7 linked regions of the Coturnix japonica genome follow. The protein of the gene in region 1 purifies or fractionates together with the protein of each later gene. This does not show direct contact. Links are inferred from orthologs where the notes say so. Each region holds a gene or a part of one and is shown in the gene's direction. Other genes may lie near its edges.

Region 1 (2,888 bases):
AGTTCATAACCAGTAGAAATCTCATTGTGTGGTTCTGCTGTCAGAAACACCCAGTTACCTTATTGCAACCAGGACAGGGATACAATGATTCTAGGATAACCCCTTTATATGTAGATACTAGTCACACTTCTTCCCTGCTGTTAGATGGAAGAGGTTGCACCTGATGAACAATGGGTGTTAGTTATTTCACCTGGTAAACACTACTTTTCCTATTTGAAGTAAGCGTGTTCGTATGTATTTTCTGGGTTACTGCCTTAGACCCTGATCCTTCAGTGAGATTCTACCAGGTTGCTAGATAAAAAGTTTTAAGAGATAGATAGTTATTCTAAGGTAAGTGGCACTCAAGGTGTCTTGTTTCTAACAGGGGAAGAGTAAAGCAGTAGTATTGGAATGAATGAAAAGTGCTGTTCGGGTGATCTATCGGATGTGACAGGTCTTCAATTTGGAATTGCAGTTTGCAGGGGCCATTTCTGATATTCAGTATTAATGTCTTAGCACAACTTTCTGCTATTTCAAACCCCTCTTTTACTCTCTTCCCTACCCTGACTCCCCTGGCGCATTTTTATGGCTTTAATTTAAACAAGTGCTTCTTGATATCTTGTTTACAAAGCTGCCAAAGTGAAAAATACCTGTATTATATGAGGCTTGCAGTTCCAGAGTTATCTCAGCACTACAACACAACATCATTATCCAGTCTGCCCCTTATCACTCGGCTGGTAATACGGACTACCGAGAGACTTGCGCCACTTCTGTTACAGCTTTATATGCTCAGGCTTATTGTGATATCTTGCTCTCCAACTTTGTGAAGATCTGCAAACTGGTACAAGCCTTAGGACTGTTCTTGAAAGATTAGATTTTTCTTAGTGATTTTTTTTCTTCTTGCATGAATAGGTGAATCTAAGAAAGTAACTTTTTGATTTATTTTACAATTGTATTGTCAACGGAATAAAAAGTGCGTTGTGAGCTGCTATGGGAAGTGTAGCTTTGTGTAGGGCTTGTTGGAACACACAACAATACACTGCAAAATGTAGGAACTGGTGTTGCTGCCCACAAGGCTCCAGCTGTTGCCATTATTCTCTGTGTACTTTATCGATTTCCTTGCATAATTCTCTTACTCTGCTTCTCATTAGTAGATCCACCTTGCGAACCATGCACAATCATCACAAAGTACAGTCAAAACATCAACCTGCTTTTATGATTATCAACATGATGTTTGCCCATTCAAAGACGGAATTCCACAGATCAGTTGTAGTGTAGAGGTAAACTACAGCAGGATAAGTTCGTACCGTATCATTTTATAGCACATCCCCATTGCTAAGCTGACAGTGCATCTAGGAAATAAACTAAGTAATCTAACATGCTAACAGCCTGGGCTGTTACCTGACTTACTTATTCCAACAGATCATAAAACTTCGTGCCCAGACGGAAGGAATTAATATTAGTGAAGAAGCTCTAAATCATTTAGGGGAAATTGGAACCAAAACAACCTTAAGGTGAGTTGAATGCAATTGGTTTTTCTCTCATACTTTGTAAGCATGACCGGGTCTTAAAACTCCATAGGATAATTCACTCTTGAAGCAAGACAGCTCACTCCCATACTGTAACACTGTGTTAAGAAGACTTAACACTGCTAAAGGTTTGTAATGCTCCTGTTGCCTTGTTTAAGGGATGTACCAGCTATAGAATCTTACAGATTTCTTTTTATATGACTAGAGCTGTGTGTTACTTAATAATTCTCCCACCCATACATTTATTCAGTTCACTGGAATGCACTGATCTGTAATTTTTCATCCATCTGTGTTTGGTCACAGGTACGCCGTGCAGCTACTGACCCCAGCTAACCTGCTTGCCAAGATTAATGGGAAAGACAGCATTGAGAAGGAGCATATTGAAGAAATAAATGAACTTTTCTATGACGCCAAGTCCTCGGCAAAAATCTTGGCTGATCAACAGGAGAAGTACATGAAATAAGCTTATTACATTAGATGCCTTGAAGCGGCGTTAACCCTTACCCAGGGCTGGCTTAAATAAGAAATGTTAATGGTTTGTCTCTTTTGGGACTGGAAAAATATTTAAATGTTGGACTGCTTTGTCAGGCCAGAATTAAATAGCAAGTGTTCTTATTACATTGTCAATGATAAGATGCTCTATGATATCTCTGTAACATCTTAGTCTCCATTTTATGAGTACCTGTGAAATGAATAGCTCTTGAACCACCAGTGTTTTTTAGATTTCATTACGGGAGAGCTCTAACTGAAGCTGATGCTTAAAAACAGTCTATTTTCTTTATGAATCTCCTTTTAAAATAGTTTCCTTTTACAGATGACTTTTTGGTTTTGAATCAAAGTTTGTCTGAAGTGGTTTATAATAAAGTATTTCAAGATCTAAGAACAAGTGCACGTTGGTGAAGTTATTGACCCTGACATTCCCTACTATAAAAGTGACTTAAAACCACTTACTGTTCATTTGGATTCAATATTGTTTTGATCACTTACTACTGTCACAGTCATGTGAAAACCTGCCCCATTCTTCAATATGGATTTTAGTATTGCCAGCCAGCCCTAATTATTTTCTGTGCTTTAAATGATGTGCCTACTCCATTCTCTACATCTGCACCTAAACAGCAGTGACAGAGATATGTAATGAATGATGTTTTTTGTTAAATCTCTGACTATTTTTGGCCAAGGAGCAAATCCTGCTTTCAAACCTGAAACCTCTTTCTGACTCCAAATGCACAAAGATGGCACATAGAGCACTAACCCGCATCCCTCAGAGCCATGTCTGCAGGGACAGTGACTCCTCCACTTCCCTGGGCAGCCTGTTAGTTTGATGCCCCGCTCACATGGTGGCAGAAGACCTGCTGAGTCAATGAGGAGTGGACTTCTACA
Region 2 (4,150 bases), on another chromosome or scaffold:
GTAGTCTGCGATTGTGAGCGGGGGTCAAAGTTTAGTGCGATTCAATTTAGGATTAAGGCACGATAGAGAGGAAAAACGGCATGACGTGCCTACCTCCGAGGGACAAAGACACTGTAGCCAGCGGTACTGAGCAGCTTCTGATCTCTAATGCAATCACTGAGCCAGGATGCCTTCACCAGCTGCAGCCTGGAAGGCAGCTTGGCTAATTTCAGGAGCCGAAAGGCCCGATCACAGTCCATATCTTCAGCTACAATGACGTGAGTCACCTCTGAGCAGAGACGGTTGTGTACACATCCTCCATTCTGGACAATCTGCTTGTGGAAGATCTCTGCTCTAGCTTGGCCAATGCCAGCTTGCAGCACGTAGGCACTGACTGGCTTCAGCCACTCCGCTGTGGAAAAGCACAGAGGCAGGAAATCAATGACAGAGAAACAGTGTCCTGAACTAAATGTGCTACATATCTTAGGTGGCACATGGGCTGGACACATTGAAGCCAGCCAGACCTCTTCAGAAAATACACTTGGGCCATAAGAAGCCTTTAGGGCACAGCACCTCCAATTACATCCTATACATGGGACATGGGACTTACCCTCGGGCTCCTCCATTCCTTCCTTTGGGATCTTTGGAGGGACGCCTTTCCCCGAGTCCTCCCTCACCTTCTTCCTCTTGGGAAAGGCTTTGACAATCCCCCGTGGTTCCATAGGCCGGGCTGTGCCTCGCTCCCCTGGGGGGAAGTTAAGCTGCAGCTGCTGAACAGCAGTAAGAACAGAGAAAGCTGCTTAAAACAGTTACACACAATCAAAAACAACTTAATTTTCGCATCTTTTGCTTATGGCCTTTGTCGGTCGGTACCGCTGGTTTGCTGTTGTTGGGGAATTGGGCTGGCAGCGATCCCTGTGAGGGCCCCATAGGGCTGACAGAAGGCCCGGAGCCCATAGAGCGGAGGGGGGCTCACACAGCCGCGCTAGGCCGCACTCACCTCCGGGTCGCCGGCAGAGGCCTTCCGGGCGGCGGCGGAAGTGTGAGCGTTGCCGTGGCCACGGGCCCCGGCCGCCATGGCGGTACCGAGCTGGTTGGAGAGGCTGCAGGCCGCCAGCAAGACCGCGCTGCTGCAGGACGGTAAAGGAAGCGGAGAGCCGGGGTGGGAGCCCGCATTACTCTTATCTCCCACCGGGGTGTTTTGGGGAGGCCCTGCGGGAAGAGAGCGAGGCTTGGGCACTATGGGCGGAAACGGGTCTGTAAACGTGGGGACACGGCCCTGTGCTGCTGCCATCGTGCAAGGAAACGGGGTACCGAGCCCTACACACAGGGGTAAAGCTATTCCTATTGAATCTCAGCCCCTGCTCTGCTTCTAGGGAAACGGAAGATCCACTACCAGTTTGAGGATGGGAAGGAGATGGCTGAGGAGTACGACATGAAGACCAGCCAGTTACTGAGTAAGTGGGGTGATGGGTCGGTATGTGCAGGGCTGGAGTGGGGGGAGGCACCGTCTGGGCAGGAAGGAAGCGCCCCTAAATATACCTGAACTGTTCCTGGAGCTCCCCCTCCCTTATGAAGGGACATAACTATGGTTGATTAGGCCTAAGGTCTTCTCACTTCCTTGAGCAATCTTTGCTTCAGCCCAGGATCACTCCCAAACTGCCTGTCACTCACAACAGACTTAATGGCACTGAATGGGACTGCCAGCTCGCACAGCCAGGCATGTGCTGAGGCATGTGCTAGGGTGAAACATGCCTTTTGGTGGCTTCTGCAGCCACAGACAGACAAGGTGTTGGTCACAGATCTTATCCAAAACCACAATTGAGGCATGGCATCTGTTGTGAACCTACTATGGCTTCAGGATCAAATAGCAAAAAAGAGGCAGTTAGTGCACAGTTCTTGGATTCGGGAGTAGTCCAGCTAACTGATCCACTTATACCAAAGTGGAAATAATTGAAATTAAGGGAAATGGCTTATTGTAATTTCAGTTTAAGGTGCTGGGCATCTTTGTTGGTAATTTGCTGGAGTTCTTCCTATAAAGCAGAATAACAGAATCTCTTCTCCCTTCTACAGGTAGAAGGTGGCGAGAGAAGAACACCCTCGGGGGCACTGGCAAATGGCAGGTTGAAGTGGGAGACCCAACTTTGCCTCTCCTGGGGCCACTAGAAACAGAGCTCATAAAGGAAAGCAGCTCTAATGTACGTAACAGCCTGCAGGCATTAGGTCTGCACCTAAAACTATCTACCCAGCCTTGTACTTAACAGCAGTAGGCTGTAGATCACTCACTGCCCCAAGAGACAGCCTTAACCTGCCCAGTGCTCTGCTACAAAGAATCCCAAAGGTCTGGGGAGAAAGAGGGCACGGTTTAGGTTCTTTTGAGGTCTCCAGGAGATTTGTGGTTCCCATAAACCAAGAAACTGTTTTGCTGTGGTAGCCAGCTATTGTGCTAGCTTCCACAAAAGTAGGCTGAAAGGAAGGCCAGAGCCAGGACAAATCAGTGGATGGAAAGTGAGGTGATAACAGTGAAAAGCCAACACAGGCAGTGTGTAACAGGCTGCTCTTTAACACAGCACTGGCTGTTTTACCTCCTGTCCCACTAGTGTAGGGGTGGAGGCTTTAGCCTCTCACTTTCTTTTCTATAGATCTGAAACACAAGAGCAGCTCTGCGCAGCAGACTGGGGCAGAAGCCCAGTTTCACTGTAACACTGCTGTGGGACTCCCTTGGTGAATGCCTTCAGCCTCCTACAAGCAGAGCAGGCAACACCCTTAGTAAATGCTAGTCCTTCAGAACTGATGCTCAGGCAGTTTCTTGAGTTGTTCCTTAATAATCCAGTGGGAAAGAAGAGATACTCCCATGTGAGTAAGAGAAAAGGGTACAAGGAGGAGAGAGGAGACAGATGGAGGGGTTTTGCTAAAGGTACTTGTTTGCTGTAGCCTGTCTTCATGAGGAAGGACACCCTGACCAGCTTCCAGTGGCGGATCCGTAACCTGCCCTACCCCAAGGAGGTCTACAGTGTCACTGTGGAGAAGGAGCAGCGCTGCTGTGTTATCCGGACCACAAACAAGAAGTCAGTAAGAACAGCACTGCCAGTGCTGATAGTCCCTCAGGGTGGGCTGGCACAGAGGGCAGGGTGGTGTTGGCAGAGGGGCGATGTCCTTTCTTGCCTTTGAGGTACCATACGTTAGACAGAAAGAGCCATGCCAACTGCAGTTTCCACTTCCAGCTGCCTCAGACTGACCAAAAAGCCCCTCAAGCTCAGCAGTGGACTTTGCAGACTTATCTCACAGTTCATTAGCAAGGTGTTTAGTCTGTTCTTTTCTTGTCAAATATTATTCCCAAAGAGAAATGAAATAATACCTTTGCAGACCTGTGGAAGCTAGAGCTTCCCATCCTCTTCCTGAGACACAGTACTTTGGTTTAGCCATTGCATCATTGAGCCTTAACTACCTCAGTGGAATAGGCCAGGATGAGCAGGAGTGTTGGGGAGAGATGGCAAGGAGGGAGCGTTAGGAAAACAAGAGAGAATGTTAGAAGGCCAGTGAAAGACTGGGATAAATACACCAGTACGAAAAGCTGGGCAGCCTGTCCTTTGGTTGCCTTTCCTCCCCAGCATTGCTGCAGAACCCGGGAGGATCAGGTTCGTGGGTAAAAACCACAGCTCTGCTTTCCAGCCTGCACCCTGCCCTCTTTCAACCGCACCTTGCTGCTGGCTGTAGGTGGTGCTGTTGGCAAAGAACTCGCTCTGCCTTGGGAACTGAACAGCTTTCAGGACAGCAGAACCCAGTTTTCCGGCAATAGTTTACCACATCAGGGACCATGGCAAGGGAAAGTTTAAGCTCTGCAGATGGGCACACCTGGATGCTCAAAAGTACGAGGAAGCTGACAGTAGGGAGGGGAGGTCTGCCCTATGAAAGCGGATTCAGTGCTAAAACAGAAAGTTTCTGGCCTGAGTCCACAGAGAAGGATTTGCAAGAAAAGAACCGAGACACCTAAGGTTATAACATACACTAAGGTTTCACCTATGTCCTACCTGACTTCAAGGTTTTTTGTACCATTCTCAGGATAACATATAGAGTTGTCCCACAATCATATTGCAGCTACACACTCACAGTATCAGAGATAGCTGAAGGACATGAAAGCTGCTCGTGGCCTGCAGATGAAAGTTAAGGG
Region 3 (3,038 bases), on another chromosome or scaffold:
CCTGTCCAGCTGGCACTGGTGCAGTCTGCAAGTCATCCCCACATTTAGCCCCCCTACCCAATGTCTGTGTGGGTTAGGGAACCCTTGTGAGGGGGAGGGGGCTTTGTACTGGTGGAAGGCAGCAGCAGTCCCACTCAGCTCGATGTCTCTTCTCTTTTAGAGAGCCGTCCAAGAAAGAGGTAGCTAAAGTTCCCCAGGCTGTGTCAGAGGTGGAACGGGCTCCAAAAGTGAGTATTGCTGCTCTCTGGTTTAAGGTTGTCTGGGCTATGAAGGCTGCTTTGGATCTTGGGCTTACTTTTATGGTAGAACCTGTCTGTGTGAGAGCTGAGAGTGCTCCCACTGCTCTGTCCTTTTGGTCTCTGTCTGTGAATAGTGCAGCACAGTAAGTGGGAATGAGGAGTACTGTAAAAGCTGCAGCATCCAAAGAAATACACTGGATGGAGCTACAGTGCCAGGTCATTGTGCCAGAGAACGTTTCTGGAGTACATCTGGTTCATCTAAGGAGTCCAAGCAAATACTGCATATGGAGCTCCCTGAGTTAGGAGTTCTGCACTGATGTAAGGATATAAATAAAGGCTTGCAGGTAGTGCAGCAGTGTTTTGAATAGGAGGATTTGGGGTACAGGGAGCACTAAGAAGTTGGGGTGTAATTCTGGCAGGAAGGAATCCCTCTGCTGTATGATGGAAGGGATTTCTGGCAGTCTGTGGTTCACACTCATGTTTGAAGTGTTGCTTACTAAGAAGTCGGGGGAAAAAGCAGTTGTGAAAGGCTTGCAAACAGCTTTTCCAACACTTGAGTTCCTTTGGAAAATGGTCTGACAATGTGTTTTCCTAACAGAGGAAGCGAGAGTCAGAGAGTGAAAATGAGGCTGAGAGCCCCCCACCATCCCCAGCCACTCCACCACCAGAGGAGCTGAGCAAAAAGGAGAAGAAGAAGAAGAAGAAAGAAAAGAAAGCCAAAGAAGCGGCTGAGAGTGGGGAAGAACAAATAGAAGTGGCATGTGACAGTGCTGCCATGGTATGGTTCAAGCATTGGGAAGAGTTGCTGTCTGTTGGGCACTTGGGATAAGCGTGTGTGATGTTTGGACACCTGGGGCTGTGTGTGAAACAATGGGAGGTGAAAGAGTTTTACTGAGAGTGCTGTGTTAGACTTCATGTGGGCTGCATTGTCATCCTGAGATGAGCAGTGAGTGATGCCTTTTGGATTAATTCCTGAACTCTCGATCCTCTTTGCAGATCAGTGAAAGCAGCACCAAGAAGAAGAAGAAGAAAAAGAAACAGAAGGAGGTAGAAGAGAGTTCAGAGTAAGCAGCTGGATCTGTCCAAAGCAGGCAAACCTCATCGTTAGGGAGGGAGAAGTCTGAGACCTTGAGGAAAAGAGGACTGCCCGTGCAGCTGAGGGGCCAGCAAATTCCAAGTTTCTTTTCTGCTGTGCATATGAGTGAGAAGTTGTTTGCCCAGGATGTGCCCTGCTCCAGCACCCCTCCTCATCCTGTTTTAAGGGTAGCCAGAGGAGTGTGGTGCCCGACTGGCCCTGCACTGAATTGCTCTGTGAAGCTGGACACCTTGATGCCAGTTGAAGTGGTATCTTCAGGGAAGATGCAGCTCCTTGCTCTTTGGGGTTTGTTTTCACCGTGAAAGGGAGAAACAACACTTTCCCTTTTCTCTCCTGCCTCTTCCTTCTCTTCCAGTGTCAAAACTGTTACCCGACAGTTACAGAATGTGCTTGTGTCTGGAGGGACTGGCCTTGCCATGGCCATCTGGAAGGGTTTGGCTCCTCTGGAGACAGCTGAATCGGTTATTTGGGGGCTCTGGTTGGTTTTAACCTGGCCATATAGTTGGCCTGACCCTCAGCTAGTTGACGCAGATGTCCATTCTTTGGTACCTCTTTTCAACTCCATCATAAAAGGATTAGAACATGAAATTCCTGCTTTGTGCTTTTTAGTGTGGGGACCTGCTTGTTAGCTGTGTGCTGATCCCAGACCCAGTGTGTCCCAGTCATGTTGCCAGTGCTGGCTCCAGTCCAGTTATTGGAACGGGGCTGCAGCCCTCTCAGCTGCCTCTGCTGGTTTTTGGTATCTAATATGCTCAGGAGGCGTTAGGTGGGGGGTGCAGCTGCAGGAGCTGCAGAGCTGGGCTTATTACAGGGCTTGTGAATGCAGGCTTGGCAGCTATGCACAGGGGCACTGAGTGTTAAGGGAGTTGTGCTCAGCAGGGGCAGAATCACAGAATTTTAGGGGTTGGAAGGGACCTCTAGAGATCATTGAGTCAGGAACAGTGCCAGGATTTTAGCTTCTTTTAGTAGGGAAGGACCCTGGCTGCTTTGTTCTGAGCTCTCTCCCTGCAGAGATCCTGTAACGTTTGTCTTAGCCTCCTCAATTGCTTTAGTCTTAAATGTGACTTTTCCCTTCAATGCTAGAGATGCAGTCAGTGCGGACAGCAACCAACGGCTGTCAGAACCTGGGTTGAAAAGAAGTTAATTTTTATTCACTTTTTTTTTATATTAAAGAAAATTAATAATAAAAGCCCTATTTTTGAATGGGTGACTTTCTTGCTTACCTGACTCCTCAAGCAGGGAACAGTTCTCAGACCACTTGGGCTGCTCAGGGGGAGGGCAGGCAGTAAGTGTGCACAGGCTGTGGGTACATTGAGCACTCAGTAGAGGTGCCTGGGGGTAAAACCCAGTGGGACGTGCCTGCAAGCCCAACTGCTTTACTGCTTTACTTGTCCTGGAGAGCTCTGTGCTCCCTCAGCCTTACCTTGCTGCCTTGAGCTCAGGGAGGTGGGAGCAGCCTGAGGTAACACAGCACTCGTTGGCAACTCATTTCAGCACGTGTTTATTGCTGCTCGCTGTTTCCCTGCAGTGGATCAGAACAAAGGTCCCTATTGCACATCAACAGACTTTATTTTTGGCTTCTTTTAAAAAGAAAAAAAAAAACAAACCTAAAACTTGCACAAGACTTGTTTAAACCCCTTCCCCCAGCCAAGTGCTGAACACACACAACATTCTTGCACCTACAATGGTTATGGTTTGCCCAG
Region 4 (3,310 bases), on another chromosome or scaffold:
CCAGTTGGAGCCAGGAGCTGGAGTCAATGATCTTTATGGGACATTCCCAAACTGATTCTGTGATTGAGCTGAAAGGAAACCATTAGTTTCAATATAGGATGTTTGTGTGGGTGACCTTCTAATTGAAGAAAATATTCTGTGAAATCATTTAGGATTGTTAATCTCAGCTCCTATTTTCATTATGTAGTACATTATTGAGCTCCTATTAGATGTTTTTCATACAATTAATAAATTTAATTGTGAGATGCAGTATTGTTTATAAGATGTGATACATTATTGTTGTTATTGATTCTATGTAATCGTGTGTCATTCCTTTCTACTCTGAGTGAGTTGTTTTCAGAATGATTTCAGAATTAACATAGGTTGCTGATTCTCATTTCAGGGCCTCTATGGCAGTGTGATTGTAGCGGGAGGGAACACACTAATACAGAGTTTCACAGACAGATTGAACAGGGAGCTGTCTCAGAAAACTCCACCGGTAAGACAACACTTCACATTTCTGTTACTTATCATGTTGCTTTTCTGCTGCATTTACTAATGGTCTCTGTTGAGAGACAAGATAAAAACATCATATACTTCTGTTGCAGCATAGCTTTTCTTGGATTCTAAATACAGGGCAGATGAGCTTTGTTGTAAGTTGAATAAGATTGATCTTTTCCAGCAGCATGATAACACGTACACAGAGTTCTTTGTGTTGTCCTCGTGTTACTAAAGGGCACCAGTCTCCTGCAATTTGTATCTGAGTGTTTTTCTTTTGTTTCACCTCATTTTCTATGCAGAGCATGCGTCTGAAATTGATAGCAAACAACACCACAGTGGAGCGGAGGTTCAGCTCATGGATTGGTGGTTCAATTTTGGCTTCTTTGGTTAGTAAACCCACATTACTACATTTTGCAGCAGAAGTTAATGTCATATAAGTATGCATTGAAGAGTTCATGCTAATGGAGCAATAATTATCTGAACCTTTCCAATCAATCTGAATGTAATTTGCCACCTTCTTCTTTGGTGTAGGGAACCTGCTTTGGCTGGGGGTTGGACTTGATGATCTCTAGAGGTCCCTTCCAACCCCTACAATTCTGTGATTCTGTGGTTCTATATTAAATGGGAATGTGCAGGCTTGAAATGCGGTGTCTAAAAATATAGTGTAGATAGTGCACTGTGAAGGGTGTAAATACATTTCTTTATCATGTGCATGAACTTGATTGTCCAGGTTACTGAGCATTGGTGTGGTTTGTGGGAATTTCATTAGCTGAAATCAGCTTTTGGTCCTGCAACTTTCAGTCTGAGTTTTAATCACCAGTAGGAAAAAAATCAAAGGAAAAAGCTAATGAAACATGTGGAGTCAAATCCTCTTTCTTTACTTGATGTGAAGATTTTCTTGTTTTTCCCTTAATGAGAAGTGCAGCGTGTTTCACCTAACCTCCATGTTTCTGCCTTGTTGTTTTGTTTTTGTAGGGTACTTTCCAACAAATGTGGATTTCTAAACAAGAATATGAAGAAGGAGGGAAACAATGCGTAGAAAGAAAATGTCCTTAAATCTCTTAATGTGAAAACTGCTGCTTCTCAGCGCTTCTTCTGACTTAGAGCTTTAGCATACTCAGGAATGGGATGGACTTTTTTGTAGAAAGTTTATATTGGATTTTTTGCGTAATTCAAGTTCCATTTTTAACAGACCTTACAAGTTTTGAGAGACCTAATTGGTACCTAATAGAAAAAGGATGTTGGTGTCCTTTGTAAAGCAATAATTCATATAACAAGTATTTTATAATTTTGTATAAATGTCTATTTTCTCTAGTATCTTCTCCTGGGAACAGCTTTACAGGTTAGCTAAGAGAGGCGTAACCTTGCAGATGTCTGCACAATTTTACCAAGAAATTCTTGTCTACTTTCACATCTTAGTCTTCCTTTGCTGGTACTTTGGCCTTAAATTGCTCTTACTTCTCTCTTAAAAATAAAACTTGCTCTTCTGTATTTGAGCAACCTTGTGAGTACTTGCAGAGAAAGTTACGCTTCTGTTTTAAAAGTCAGAGTTCGTATTTACTAATCTACTGTAGGTGACTCAGTTCAGTGTAAATTTCTACCCTCTGATGAAAGTGCTACATTCCATTTAGTGAATGTTATATTAGACACTGGTCTGCTAATTTTCCATTAAGGAGCAATTTCAGTAAACCTTTATTGTTTTCCAGCTAGTTTTTAAGAATGTATATAATCTGCAGAATGCCTTAGTGATGTAGATGAGAAGCAGAGCTTTTTAGAGACGGGGAATGTAAGGCAGCAAATTCTTTCCAAGACTAGCAGAATAGTCATAGACCTCAGGATGTGGCTTTACATTTTACAGTGAACTGTAACTTAGAGGAGCAGTTACAATTTGTTCTTTGCTGGGTTAGCTCCCTTAGCTGACTCTTGGCATCGTCAGTAAGTGCCTGCATTTAGTATGGGGTGTGTGCGCTTGGGCAGAGAAAGGAGGGGGGATTTATTGGTTTTTTTTTTCAGCAGGATCTGCTATCAAGCTGCAGCTCTGTGTTGCTGTTTAGCTCACTCTATTTCACAACATCATGATGTTCTGTATTGTGGCACAGTGGAATTTTGTTCCTTATTTTAGAGGCTGTGGAAAACCAAATAGCATTTAACTGATGTAAAACTAAGTGAACAGTACTGCTACCTTTTCAGTATCCTAGAAGACCTCAAGGGTAAATAGGGATGGGGACTCTAGTTGAAAAGTTTCATGTTACCTCCGAGCAATAAAATAATTTATCAAAACAGCCTGTTTTTGTCATACCATAATAAACATCATTTGACTCTTGGATAAAGTTGCTTGTTTTATAGTTTGTCAAATACTTTGAAAATGTATTTCTGTCAGAAAATGAGGCAAACTTAAGTCAGCTGCACTGCATGACAAATCGCCTGCTGTTGTCATGCTGGAAGGAGAACACTTGATTGAGTTAGTGTTCAAGTAGAATGTGGAATGCCAGCTGGACTTGGATCTTAGCAGATCAGAACTGTGTTAGAAGTTACTGTAGCATCACTGAAATACTAAAATTGATCTGACAGTTTGTTGATTGAAATGAGGAAAAGTAGATGCTTTGTTTGCTTCTTCATGAATCAATTATAAGTTTCAAGTTTTCCTTCTGTGACATGCGCTTAAGTTTCAGTGATTATCTGCTTTGTATCTTTACAAAACTACAGTACCATGGTAGTGGTAAGGAAGAGATTCCTTACCTTTCCACTTAAATTGCAGAGAAGACTACTACCAGCCTTCTGGTTTGAATGTTTGAATTGGTCAGAGGTATCTAGAAATGTAGGTATGAAG
Region 5 (3,500 bases), on another chromosome or scaffold:
ATCATAATCAGCATTCTTGCTGTGAAGCAGTTGCAAGGAATCCTGTTTGGGATATTAATTCCCAGACTGTTGTCAATGATGAAACATAGTTAAGCTGAAAATAATGATTTAATTCAGTTCCTTCGTCACTACCACTGAGACAACAGATGGAAATGTTGTTATTGCATTAGAGGGAAATATTTTAGCCTCAGGGCTCTGTAGCAATATATGCCGTGGGTGTTACATGTTGATGTTGTAAATCCAGTTATCAGTCGTATCTTCTAGCTGCTGAGCTTGTTGGATTTGTCAGATGCATTTATAGTGTAAAGACAATTAAAGGGCTTAACACAATCAAGTAACTGTGAATACTAGATACATTCTCACCATTAGGTTTTTTCTTTAACGTTTATTAGGTGGCTAATTGTTACATCTACCTTGTGTGTGAACACTTTTCTGATTGAGAGGGAGAATCACGGTGGCTCCTGTGCCCCATCCAAGAGAATGCCCTTTGCAGCTGCTAAAGGCATCTGTTCTCCAAAGTGGTGCCAGCGGTTAAACTTTCAGACAATGTTTGTGTTAATTCTAATGTTTCTGCACTACTGTGCCTAGGATTATGCAGTTCTCTGAAAACAAAGGACTTCTACTTCACTGCAGCTTAAGTTGCATTCCATCAAATCTTTGTGATAGAACAAGGGCTGCTCTAGAAGTAATGCCTTCTGTTTTATTATGTTCAGAGGTGAATGTTGGCGGTATGGCAGTAGAAGTAGAATCTTCCCACCAATATCAAGTTATATTGTGGTACTGTGTGGCATATGGCAGCAAAGGCACAGTCTTACAGAATAGTATCTGACATGGATGCATATATGAAATGAAGGGGTCATTGAATTCCTCTGTGTGGAAAAAATGGCACCCGTTGACATTCACTGATGCTTGTTGAACGTATCTGGAGACCAGGCAGTGGATGGCAGTGAGGCAGTGATGGCACTGGGTCCCTGCTCTAGTACAGACTTCTACTAGTGCAGCATGCAGACTTCTTCATTACTGATGAATATGTATAGCTAATGGTGGTGAATACATTGAAAAAAGGTATTTGGAAGATGAGAATTTGCTTTATCAAATAGTGGTGTTATGCTTTTTGCATCTGTTGTAGTTTCCCTGGAAATAAATAGGAAGCATTACTTTTGGAGCAACTTATCTACTTCTGTTATCTTTGCTTACTTTGTTTAAATTTGTTGATTTGAGAGTTAACCATTTTTCAATGTCCTTGTAAGAAACAAAAGTCCATTCTTCTTTCTCGTAGCACTTCTTGATGACTTGGACAAAGAACTGAATAATTATATCATGCGCTGTAGAGAATGGTATGGTTGGCACTTCCCTGAGCTGGGTAAAATCATCACAGATAACCTGACCTATTGTAAATGCGTGCGGAAAGTTGGTGAGTAATAAGGAGGCGTGAGCCTGGGGGATGCATTGTGTATTAACGTGAAATGTCATGACACAGATTTATAGACCAGCAACTCGCTCTACAGCAGGTCATGGTGTTGTGTACAATCCTACCATCTAAACCAGTGCAAATAAGGCCAGTACAGAGGTGGTGTGTGGTTGCCTCTGTATGCTAATGCAGTTTGAAATTCTGAACCGTAATATAACGCTAATATCATATGACCAGCATAAAGAAGACCACCAGCATATCTTGGAATTAATCAGACCAGTTTGGATATTTAGACCTGGTTAGTTAAAAGTAACTGCTGCTTACTGATATTCTTCCTTCGTAGTCTTGTGACTGAAAATTTTACAGCAAATAGGTACTGAAAAGGTGAAGTATTTGGTGTTAAGGAATAAGGGCTTTTTCTAGTTCCAAATTGAATTGACCTAACCTTTCTTGGTAGTGTAAATAAGGTCTGAACATCAACGTATATTTTGGTAGTTTAGGTTAGGATGATAGCAGACTTGACTGACTGTATTTTAGCCTTTTTATCTTTGTCTGTTTCTGTTCTTTTCATACCTTCTCATCTCACCCCCACTACAAACGTGCTTTCATCTGTCCCCTGCAGGAGATAGAAGAAATTTTGCATCTTCTGATGTTTCTGACATCCTACCAGAGGAGATTGAGGAGGATGTAAAAGCTGCTGCTGAGATTTCCATGGGAACAGAAGTATCAGAAGAAGATATAAACAACATAATTCATCTCTGTGATCAGGTATGCATATGTATATGAATAGCAGTAGAAATTCCACAATGCCTAACAGCGTCAGAGACTCTTCTACCTAGGCCCTTTCTAACACAGTCATGATGGCAGTGATGATTCCTATATTGTGGTTTTCCTGATGTACAGACATGAGGGTGCACAGTCACTACCTCATCTGAGCCATCTCCATCTGTTGATGTCTATTTGAAGCCTTCTGCAAGTGTCTTCCTTTTGGAAGGAATTCTGGCACTGGTGTGTTTTTAAGCCCTTAAGAAAATGGTACTGCGCAACCTCTTTTTCGCCTGTCAGTTTTGAAGCTGGGCGGTAAACCCTGGGTTAAAAGTGGAGCACTGAGGCCTAAAAAGAATTCGGAGCCCTCTCCTGCTTTCATTTGTATTGCCTATGGACTCCCTCTGACTTTGGTGCCAACTGAATCCCTTTGTGACTTTACCAGGGAGTGGCAGGGTTAGGAATAGCAAGTCCTGTTCTCAGTCTAGACTGGGCTGCTTTTTTATGTGTGTTTTAATTGAGTGCATTTGTATGGAACAAGTAGAGATCATTTATCCTATTTAAAGAGAATGGTGACAAAGATTTATGTGAAAACTGAATGTTCCAGGGTTTTGTCCTAAAGAAAATGTCCTTACTAAGTATTTTTGTTCTGCTTCGCTGTCTTTGGCATGTTGTCAGCTCCTTTATCAGGAGCTCTGCTGAGAAAATAGGTTACATGAGGGAATGAACAGTACAAATCCAATACACTTCATGGATGGAACTCTGCTCTGGGAATATACCCTATATAAAGCTTTCTGTAACTGACTCTTGATTGTGTAGTTTGCACTGTTAGCCTCCTTGGTAGTAGCCACCTTCGTTTAGGACTTAGATTTGTCTGTCAGCCAATTCTGATTCATGTAACTAAACTTTGTTTATGCCAGGTAATTGAGATCTCTGAGTATCGGACACAGCTGTATGACTACCTGAAGAACAGAATGATGGCCATTGCTCCTAATCTCACCGTTATGGTGGGTGAACTGGTTGGAGCAAGACTCATTGCTCATGCAGGTGGGTCACATTGGTCAGTGTAAATAAAGCTTAGCTGACCTCACCACAAGTTTTCTCTCAGGAGCTAATTGGCTGAAGGCATCATGCAAGACCATGATGAGCATCTCTTGAGAATATGAGTGTGAGCTCGGTAGTAGTCTGTGATGATGTAGTTCTTGGTTGGCCTGAATCCTTCTTGGAATGTGAGGGCAACTTAAGTCACTACCTCTTCTGAGACACTGAGCCCCTTTCTGGCGGTCCAGTCAAATCTGAGATAAAATACTGAGAAGTTGGCTTT
Region 6 (3,500 bases), on another chromosome or scaffold:
TCTGCTAGGCTGAATAGTGAAATAAGTAGAAGTGTGAGGGGGAGAGCAGTGCAACACAGCTGAATAAAATCAATATACTGGAACTGATCCAGTAAAGAAAAGGGCAACTGTGTATAACTTGCTGAAATATCAGATCTGAGAGTGTAATGTTTTGAGGGATACAGGATCAGGTGTATGTGTGTGTACCATGTATCAGCACGATAGCCTTACAGTTGATGAAAAATATTGCAGATATGCATATAAAATTAGATTTGTGTTACTGTTCCAAGGCTGTAGATGTCACTGATGTAAAACAGCCATTCCAGCTTCAGATAGGAAGATTTAAATTAGGACATATTGACTAAAACCAGCTTTTTGTAGGAATAGGGAGAAATGTTCTTAGACCCAGTTTTTTTTTTTTCCATCAGTGAATAGGAAGAGGAATCCTGAGAGCCACCAGTTTGAGTATGTGCTGTGCTTGATTGTAGCTAGAGCCTGAAGTTCTCCCACCATCTGAATACAGACAGCACTGCTTTGTAAGCTGGGAGGGGTCCTGTACTCCTCATTCTGTTGCCTTGAAGACCCAAGTAACTCATGGTGGTGCCAGTCAGATAAGGGAGGAGGTGATTCAAAGCATCAGAACTTGGCTTCTCACTCAGTCTCTATAGTTGCCTGGCTAAGCTGTGGTCCCATATGATGTACTTTTATGGGGAATGCTGCACTTTAAGACTCCTAAATTGAAGTGCATGAAGTTGGAAAATATAAAAGCTCTTTGACACTACAGACTCTTCCACTTTCTGATGTCTTTGTGAATGAAGCAAACAAAAAAAAACCCCCACTTTTAAAATACTCCTAAGCTTGACTGGAAAGAATTCTAAGACTTTTCATCTGTTTGAGTCCTTAAAGCAGTTAACACAGGGATGATTCCAGTGACTCACATGCTTAAATCATTACTGTTGAGATTTAACCTTTTGTCTTTAAATCTAAATGGCATGTTTTAATTAAAAACATTTGCTTTGCAACAGGAACCTCTAGAACGTTGTACTCCACCAACATGGCTTTATCATCCAGCCCAGGGATTTCAGCTGTACAGCTTGTAAGGACAGTTGGCCACACCACCACAAACCACTTAATTCCAGCGTTGTGCACAAGCAGCCCTCAAACACTTCCCATGAACAATTCTTGCCTGACTAATGCAGTGCACCTCAACAATGTCAGCGTTGTTTCTCCAGTCAATGTGCATATTAATACAAGGACTTCAGCACCATCGCCAACAGCCTTAAAACTTGCCACAGTTGCTGCCAGTATGGACAGAGTGCCAAAGGTAACTCCTAGCAGTGCCATCAGCAGTATAGCAAGGTAAGCGCAGAGCAAGTTAGAGCACAGATTCCAGTTAAAACTTCTGCCAGTTTGGAGCACACTAGTTTTGGTCGTCTTCCATTGTGTTTAAGTGGCTTCATTCTAACCATTTTCATTTGTCCCTTCTTATTCAGCACTTGCCAAGTAGATTCTTTCAAACTCTCCATGTGTTCTCTCTGCAGCTATATGTACCCATAATGTAAGATGCAGGCTGGCATATCTATTTTATACATATGTATGTGTGCATACACGTTTTGAATTCAAAATAGAAAACAGATATAAGCCAGTCTGTCTCTTACTATGCATGCCTTTATAATGTATAATTATTTTCATTTACGAGTACTTAGCCAGTACTTAAGTGTTCCACAGGAGTGGCAGTGGCTTGTAGCTGATTATGTTTTGCAAATGACAGCATTTGGGCTCTGTTGTAAAGGTCTCTGCTGGATTGTATGATGCTTTAAAAGCAAAAAAGAAATACTTGTCTATAGGTTAAGAAAGCAGAAAAAGAGCATTAGCTTTATCCATTATGGATTATTTCATGACATATCCAGAGTTGTTAAAAAGAGCTTTTGAGATGGAGAACCACACGTATAGTACAGTCCCTGTGCAGAGAGTGGAAAAGCTGTTTTTAAATTAGCAATTGCTTTAAAGCGTATTCCTGTATCATTAGTGCCTTTAGCTCTTGTTTCCATCGAGTCACAGGGGTGTTTCAAGTCAAGTCAGCATATGCCTGAAAAAGAACCATCTTAGCTGAATAGACCTAAGGCTCCTCTACAGGGGATGGTAATAAAGTCAGAAAGAAATTAGAATTTTTTTTGTGCTGAAACTGAACTGGAAAAAAATAGTTCACAAATGGAATAATTGGTAGCTGTTGCACAAGTCCTAATGGCATACCGTGACTCTGTTCCTTCAGGAGACTTATTATTATCTGTAATTTGGGCTGGTAATTTATAGTTAAATGCATTGAAGTTGGGACATCTCTGCTAATACTCTTGTAGAAGGAACTGCAATGTTCATGGGGTTAAAGCCATTCTTAAACCACCAGTATTTCAGCTTTAAATGGTCTGTTTCTATCTAGTGTGTATGTTAAGGTTTGTCCATAGCCATGTAAGAGCACAGAGCCTGTAAGAAATCACTGAAATTGCATAAGGAAATATCCGTGTTCTACCTGTAATTGTGGAATGCTTCTTTTGTTACAGAGAGAACCATGAACCAGAGCGGCTGGGTTTGAACGGCATAGCAGAGACAACAGTAGCAATGGAAGTGACATAACCTCAAATCAGTGTCTCAACCTGTGCTAACGGTGTAGTCATTTATATTCCAACCGAATGCAAAATACAGCACTCTGTGGATCACAGAGAACTAAAATGGACCTAAATGGACTATCCTTATATCGTGTATTAAGTCGATATATAATGTAAATTTTGTAAAATTGGGAGAATCACTACCTTGTAAAATAGTTTATTTGTATCATCAATATTATTTCTGTTACTTGAATAGTAGATATTCATCATCATGCTTTTGCACTTGAATTTGCAACTGAATGGATTAAAAAATAATTCTTTAATGGGATCATGAGCATGAAATGGGATCCTGCATCACTTGTTTTAACTATTTATTTTGCCATGTTTACATTTTGTATCTTGTACAAATAAATCCAACTTTGTGTCTAAAAAAAGAAGTTAAAGATTCATAGCTAGGAGACAAAATTCTTGTAATTTTTTTCTAAAGGAAATGTAAAGTTTTCACTTGGTTCATTTTGTTTCACAATTTGACTAGATGGACTTTTTGGTAAATACTTTAGTGGCATTTCACTGTCAAATATGAAGTTCAAGGCAAAATAGTATTTTCTATTACTGTGCAGGGGAAAGGGATGGATCGATACATGCAAATTTAATGTAGTAACTCACTTTTCCATATATTTTGAATGTATATTTCTATTTATAATACCAGTTTATAAAAAATAATTACACAGGAAAAAAAAAAGCTGACTAGGAAAATTATGCATCTGACACATATAAAATTGTGCAGATAAGAGAAAATTTTCAACCAATGACATTTTATCCGAAGACTGCATATTTTAACCGGCTTTAAAACTGTAACACACCACGTAAAGGACATTTTACCAGGTATGTATTGCATTATATATCATTGCAATAATT
Region 7 (3,155 bases), on another chromosome or scaffold:
CACCTTTTAGGTATCACATTGAGGTTAACCGTGTTCCTGCTGGCAACTGGGTGCTGATAGAAGGAGTGGACCAGCCCATTGTGAAGACTGCAACTGTCACGGAGCCACGAGGCAATGAGGAGGTACTGTGTGCGCCTGCTGTCACTCAGCCCTGCAGGAATTTAGGGTGTTGGAATGTATCTTAAAAGCTGAGGTGGTGAGATTAAATAAAGACAAGGGCTGGGGTACAAGAGCCAACAGTGGAAGGAGAACAACTCAGATGCTCTGTTAGACCCCAAGGTCCATCTATGATGCAAAGCTCTTTGTCCTTACTTGATTCCAGGCTCAGATCTTCCGCCCTTTGAAGTTCAACACTACGTCTGTCATCAAAATAGCAGTAGAGCCAGTCAACCCCTCTGAGCTCCCCAAAATGTTGGATGGTCTCCGCAAAGTCAACAAGAGCTACCCATCGCTTACCACAAAGGTATTTCTGGTGTATGTGTGCTCTGGGATACCTCATAGGCTGATCTTAAGAACAAATCAGTTTAACTGGGGGATGTTTTGTTTGTTCTGGGTTTTTTTTTAATGCTGGTAAATCCTGAGGTTTATATGGGGCCCTGCAAGACAAGGACCTGTGAGCAATAATGCTGTGAACTGAACCCTTCTCTTGTTTTTCAGGTGGAAGAGTCTGGAGAACATGTGATCCTGGGGACAGGGGAGCTCTATCTGGATTGCGTGATGCATGATCTGCGGAAGATGTATTCTGAGATTGATATCAAGGTGAGGAAATGGGAGGAGGGGGTGTTTCCCAGCTGGGGAAGGGTTTTGTCCTTCAAACTCAGAAGGATGGGAAAATAAACCTTGCACAGTTGACAGGGTGACTGTCTGCCTCTGGTTCCTCCTCACTGTGCTGAGGTTGTTGCAATATTGTAAGAGGGGCTTCTGTGTCAATCTAAATAATACAAACTCCCTCTACAAACCTGATGCTGTTGTTCCAGGTCGCTGATCCGGTCGTGACGTTCTGTGAGACAGTGGTGGAAACGTCCTCCCTGAAGTGCTTTGCTGAGACTCCCAATAAGAAGTAAGAGCCCAGGGCAGCCATGGGAGCAGTCAGTGGGGACAGGCAGTGGATGGGTTCTCTTAGGGGGCTGCTCCCAGGCAAGTGGCAGCCTTCCATCTGCTGAGCCCCAGTAACACACTGAGTCCCACAGATGTTTCTGTGTTCTCTGTGAGCTCAGAATGGAGGGAATAGAAGAAAGATCCACATTCTCCTTTAACTGAATTTCACACCCTCTCAGCAGTTCTCTGTCATTTTCAAGACTGGGAGGTGTATTGGGATCATAGAGCCAATTACTGCCAAAGAGCCCATTACTGCCTTCAGTGATTCCACAAAACTTGTGAAACGTTTCATCTTAATCTTGAAATTAATATACTCCTTTCTGGTGCCTTACAACCCCGTCTTGTCTTTATGCTCCAGCAAGGTGTTAGGAGATGTGCATGTTGGAGGGAGGGAGGCCTGGCATGGAATCATAGATTGAATAACCAGAATGAAAGTATGTTGTAATACAGCATGTTGTAATGCCTGAGTTTTCATGGAAATGGTGATCTATCATACAATGGAGATAGTTTTCCTGTATTCCACTGTGCTTTCTGGTAATTCTTGCCTTCTTTTCTACTGAAATACTGTGGCTGGAAGTCTTGTTTTTGGGAACAGACAGGTTTTGCTCTTCAGACTGTCTTAGAGGTGCAGGGCAGGTGGAGTGACGTGCTATAGGGCCAACGTTCCCATGTGAGTGGCGTTGTCCAAAGCAACATCCCTTATGTCTGACACTTCCTTATGCAGCCAGTATGAGCTCTGGACATCTGGCAGGGAGGGATGGGGGCCACTCCTGTCCCTTAGCAATCTGCTGCTGGAGGTGAGCAGACTTCAGAGAGCAGTTGTTAGCAGCGTGGGTTGTCTTTACAAGCACAACAGTAATGCTGAAAGACACGGATGGCTTCATCTCTCTGGCTGTGTTGCACAGTCCCCGAGGTCCTGCCAATTACTCCCATTTCTGTCATTCTGTGGACTAATTGCAACTGTCTCTCTTCTCAGGAACAAGATCACGATGATTGCTGAACCTCTGGAGAAGGGACTTGCGGAGGACATTGAAAATGAAGTGGTCCAAATAACGTGGAACAGGTATGGACAGTCTGGGGGGAGCAAGGATCTTTCTGGAGGGAAATAACTGGGGAAGTAGGGAGCACTGGGATCCACAAGGATCAGTCAGCAGCTCCCAGGCAGGGATCCTGGGTGCACCAGTGAGTCCAGGAGCATCCTGGCCCAGCAAACAGTTTGCTTCGTGTAAAAAGCTGAGGCTGTTTTTATGTGGAGCAGGTTTATAAATACTTACTTTCTGAGTGCAGATCAGACTCTGCTTTCCTAAACTTCCTTCTGTTCTTCCATCAGAAAGAAGCTGGGTGAATTCTTCCAGACCAAATACGACTGGGATTTGCTGGCTGCCCGTTCCATCTGGGCCTTCGGGCCGGATGCCACTGGCCCAAACATCCTGGTAGATGATACTCTGCCCTCAGAGGTGAGGAACAGGCACAGGGGTTATATTGGAGTGAAATATATTGTGTGCCCCGGTGGTGCAGTGGTTAAAGACGCCGCCTTGCAACACTGGGGCCCGGGGTTCGAATCCCCCCTGTGGCGCAAGTGGTAGAAGTGCCGCTCTGCTACACAGAGGCTCGAATCCCGGGGGCTGGACTCGATGATCTCTAAGGTCCCTTCCAACCCGCACGAAACTATGAAACTATGAAACTATGAAATGTTTATTCTGTTCTGTCCAGAGGTGGCAGTTCCTTCCAGGACCTGCAGCAAGGTTCTAATGCTGTAGGAGTGCTTGTTGGTTTGTCATGTCTCAGATACATTGAGCTTCTTCCTCTATGCTCATATCAAAGCTGGTGAACTGTCAGTCCGCAGTTTGGGCCAGCACCCTCAGAACTGAACGGCCTGTCTTTAAGGATTACCAAAATAGGCACTCTTCACTTCTGACTATAGATGTCAAACTCTTAAAGATGATGATTCAGAGCTGTGAGGAGGGTGCAGAAGAACATGGCTGCTCATCTAATAAACAACTGTTAAACACTGGGGTCTATCTGATCCTGCCTTGTCTCTGTCCATAGGTGGACAA

Evidence for each region.
Region 2: the proteins of RUVBL1 (region 1) and DPCD purify together in Homo sapiens (affinity purification with mass spectrometry; 6 studies listed by BioGRID and IntAct, counting the BioPlex papers as one, with this or other methods). This does not show direct contact. The link is inferred for Coturnix japonica from reciprocal best matches to the Homo sapiens genes RUVBL1 and DPCD.
Region 3: the proteins of RUVBL1 (region 1) and DKC1 purify together in Homo sapiens (affinity purification with mass spectrometry; 4 studies listed by BioGRID and IntAct, counting the BioPlex papers as one, with this or other methods). This does not show direct contact. The link is inferred for Coturnix japonica from reciprocal best matches to the Homo sapiens genes RUVBL1 and DKC1.
Region 4: the proteins of RUVBL1 (region 1) and ACTL6A purify together in Homo sapiens (affinity purification with mass spectrometry; 10 studies listed by BioGRID and IntAct, counting the BioPlex papers as one, with this or other methods). This does not show direct contact. The link is inferred for Coturnix japonica from reciprocal best matches to the Homo sapiens genes RUVBL1 and ACTL6A.
Region 5: the proteins of RUVBL1 (region 1) and NOP58 purify together in Homo sapiens (affinity purification with mass spectrometry; 4 studies listed by BioGRID and IntAct, with this or other methods). This does not show direct contact. The link is inferred for Coturnix japonica from reciprocal best matches to the Homo sapiens genes RUVBL1 and NOP58.
Region 6: the proteins of RUVBL1 (region 1) and EPC2 purify together in Homo sapiens (co-immunoprecipitation; 3 studies listed by BioGRID and IntAct, counting the BioPlex papers as one, with this or other methods). This does not show direct contact. The link is inferred for Coturnix japonica from reciprocal best matches to the Homo sapiens genes RUVBL1 and EPC2.
Region 7: the proteins of RUVBL1 (region 1) and EFTUD2 purify together in Homo sapiens (affinity purification with mass spectrometry; 4 studies listed by BioGRID and IntAct, with this or other methods). This does not show direct contact. The link is inferred for Coturnix japonica from reciprocal best matches to the Homo sapiens genes RUVBL1 and EFTUD2.

Annotation. Positions count from the first base shown.
Region 1 is NC_029527.1:7,160,865-7,163,752, forward strand, and holds the end of RUVBL1 (ruvB-like 1), read left to right. Parts: intron 1-1,401; coding exon 1,402-1,493; intron 1,494-1,811; coding exon 1,812-1,971; 3' UTR 1,972-2,388; downstream 2,389-2,888. UniProt on the Homo sapiens protein: Possesses single-stranded DNA-stimulated ATPase and ATP-dependent DNA helicase (3' to 5') activity; hexamerization is thought to be critical for ATP hydrolysis and adjacent subunits in the ring-like structure contribute to the ATPase activity.
Region 2 is NC_029521.1:19,945,177-19,949,326, reverse strand, and holds the start of DPCD (protein DPCD), read left to right. Parts: upstream 1-1,350; 5' UTR 1,351-1,396; coding exon 1,397-1,436; intron 1,437-2,052; coding exon 2,053-2,177; intron 2,178-2,913; coding exon 2,914-3,047; intron 3,048-4,150. Other genes in the region: POLL (DNA polymerase lambda), read right to left, coding at 94-391, 590-749, 980-1,273. UniProt on the Homo sapiens protein: May play a role in the formation or function of ciliated cells.
Region 3 is NC_029519.1:2,073,881-2,076,918, forward strand, and holds the end of DKC1 (H/ACA ribonucleoprotein complex subunit DKC1), read left to right. Parts: intron 1-160; coding exon 161-227; intron 228-837; coding exon 838-1,017; intron 1,018-1,235; coding exon 1,236-1,307; 3' UTR 1,308-2,538; downstream 2,539-3,038.
Region 4 is NC_029524.1:15,347,882-15,351,191, reverse strand, and holds the end of ACTL6A (actin-like protein 6A), read left to right. Parts: intron 1-382; coding exon 383-478; intron 479-779; coding exon 780-866; intron 867-1,455; coding exon 1,456-1,536; 3' UTR 1,537-2,810; downstream 2,811-3,310.
Region 5 is NC_029522.1:10,261,229-10,264,728, forward strand, and holds part of NOP58 (nucleolar protein 58), read left to right. Parts: intron 1-62; exon of another isoform or gene 63-150; intron 151-1,279; coding exon 1,280-1,414; intron 1,415-2,033; coding exon 2,034-2,179; intron 2,180-2,269; exon of another isoform or gene 2,270-2,353; intron 2,354-3,096; coding exon 3,097-3,223; intron 3,224-3,356; exon of another isoform or gene 3,357-3,442; intron 3,443-3,500. UniProt on the Homo sapiens protein: Required for the biogenesis of box C/D snoRNAs such as U3, U8 and U14 snoRNAs. Part of the small subunit (SSU) processome, first precursor of the small eukaryotic ribosomal subunit.
Region 6 is NC_029522.1:31,150,190-31,153,689, reverse strand, and holds part of EPC2 (enhancer of polycomb homolog 2), read left to right. Parts: intron 1-1,004; coding exon 1,005-1,338; intron 1,339-2,537; coding exon 2,538-2,610; 3' UTR 2,611-3,500. UniProt on the Homo sapiens protein: May play a role in transcription or DNA repair.
Region 7 is NC_029542.1:765,795-768,949, reverse strand, and holds part of EFTUD2 (116 kDa U5 small nuclear ribonucleoprotein component), read left to right. Parts: intron 1-10; coding exon 11-122; intron 123-322; coding exon 323-463; intron 464-657; coding exon 658-759; intron 760-977; coding exon 978-1,060; intron 1,061-2,074; coding exon 2,075-2,161; intron 2,162-2,428; coding exon 2,429-2,555; intron 2,556-3,147; coding exon 3,148-3,155. UniProt on the Homo sapiens protein: Required for pre-mRNA splicing as component of the spliceosome, including pre-catalytic, catalytic and post-catalytic spliceosomal complexes. Component of the U5 snRNP and the U4/U6-U5 tri-snRNP complex, a building block of the spliceosome.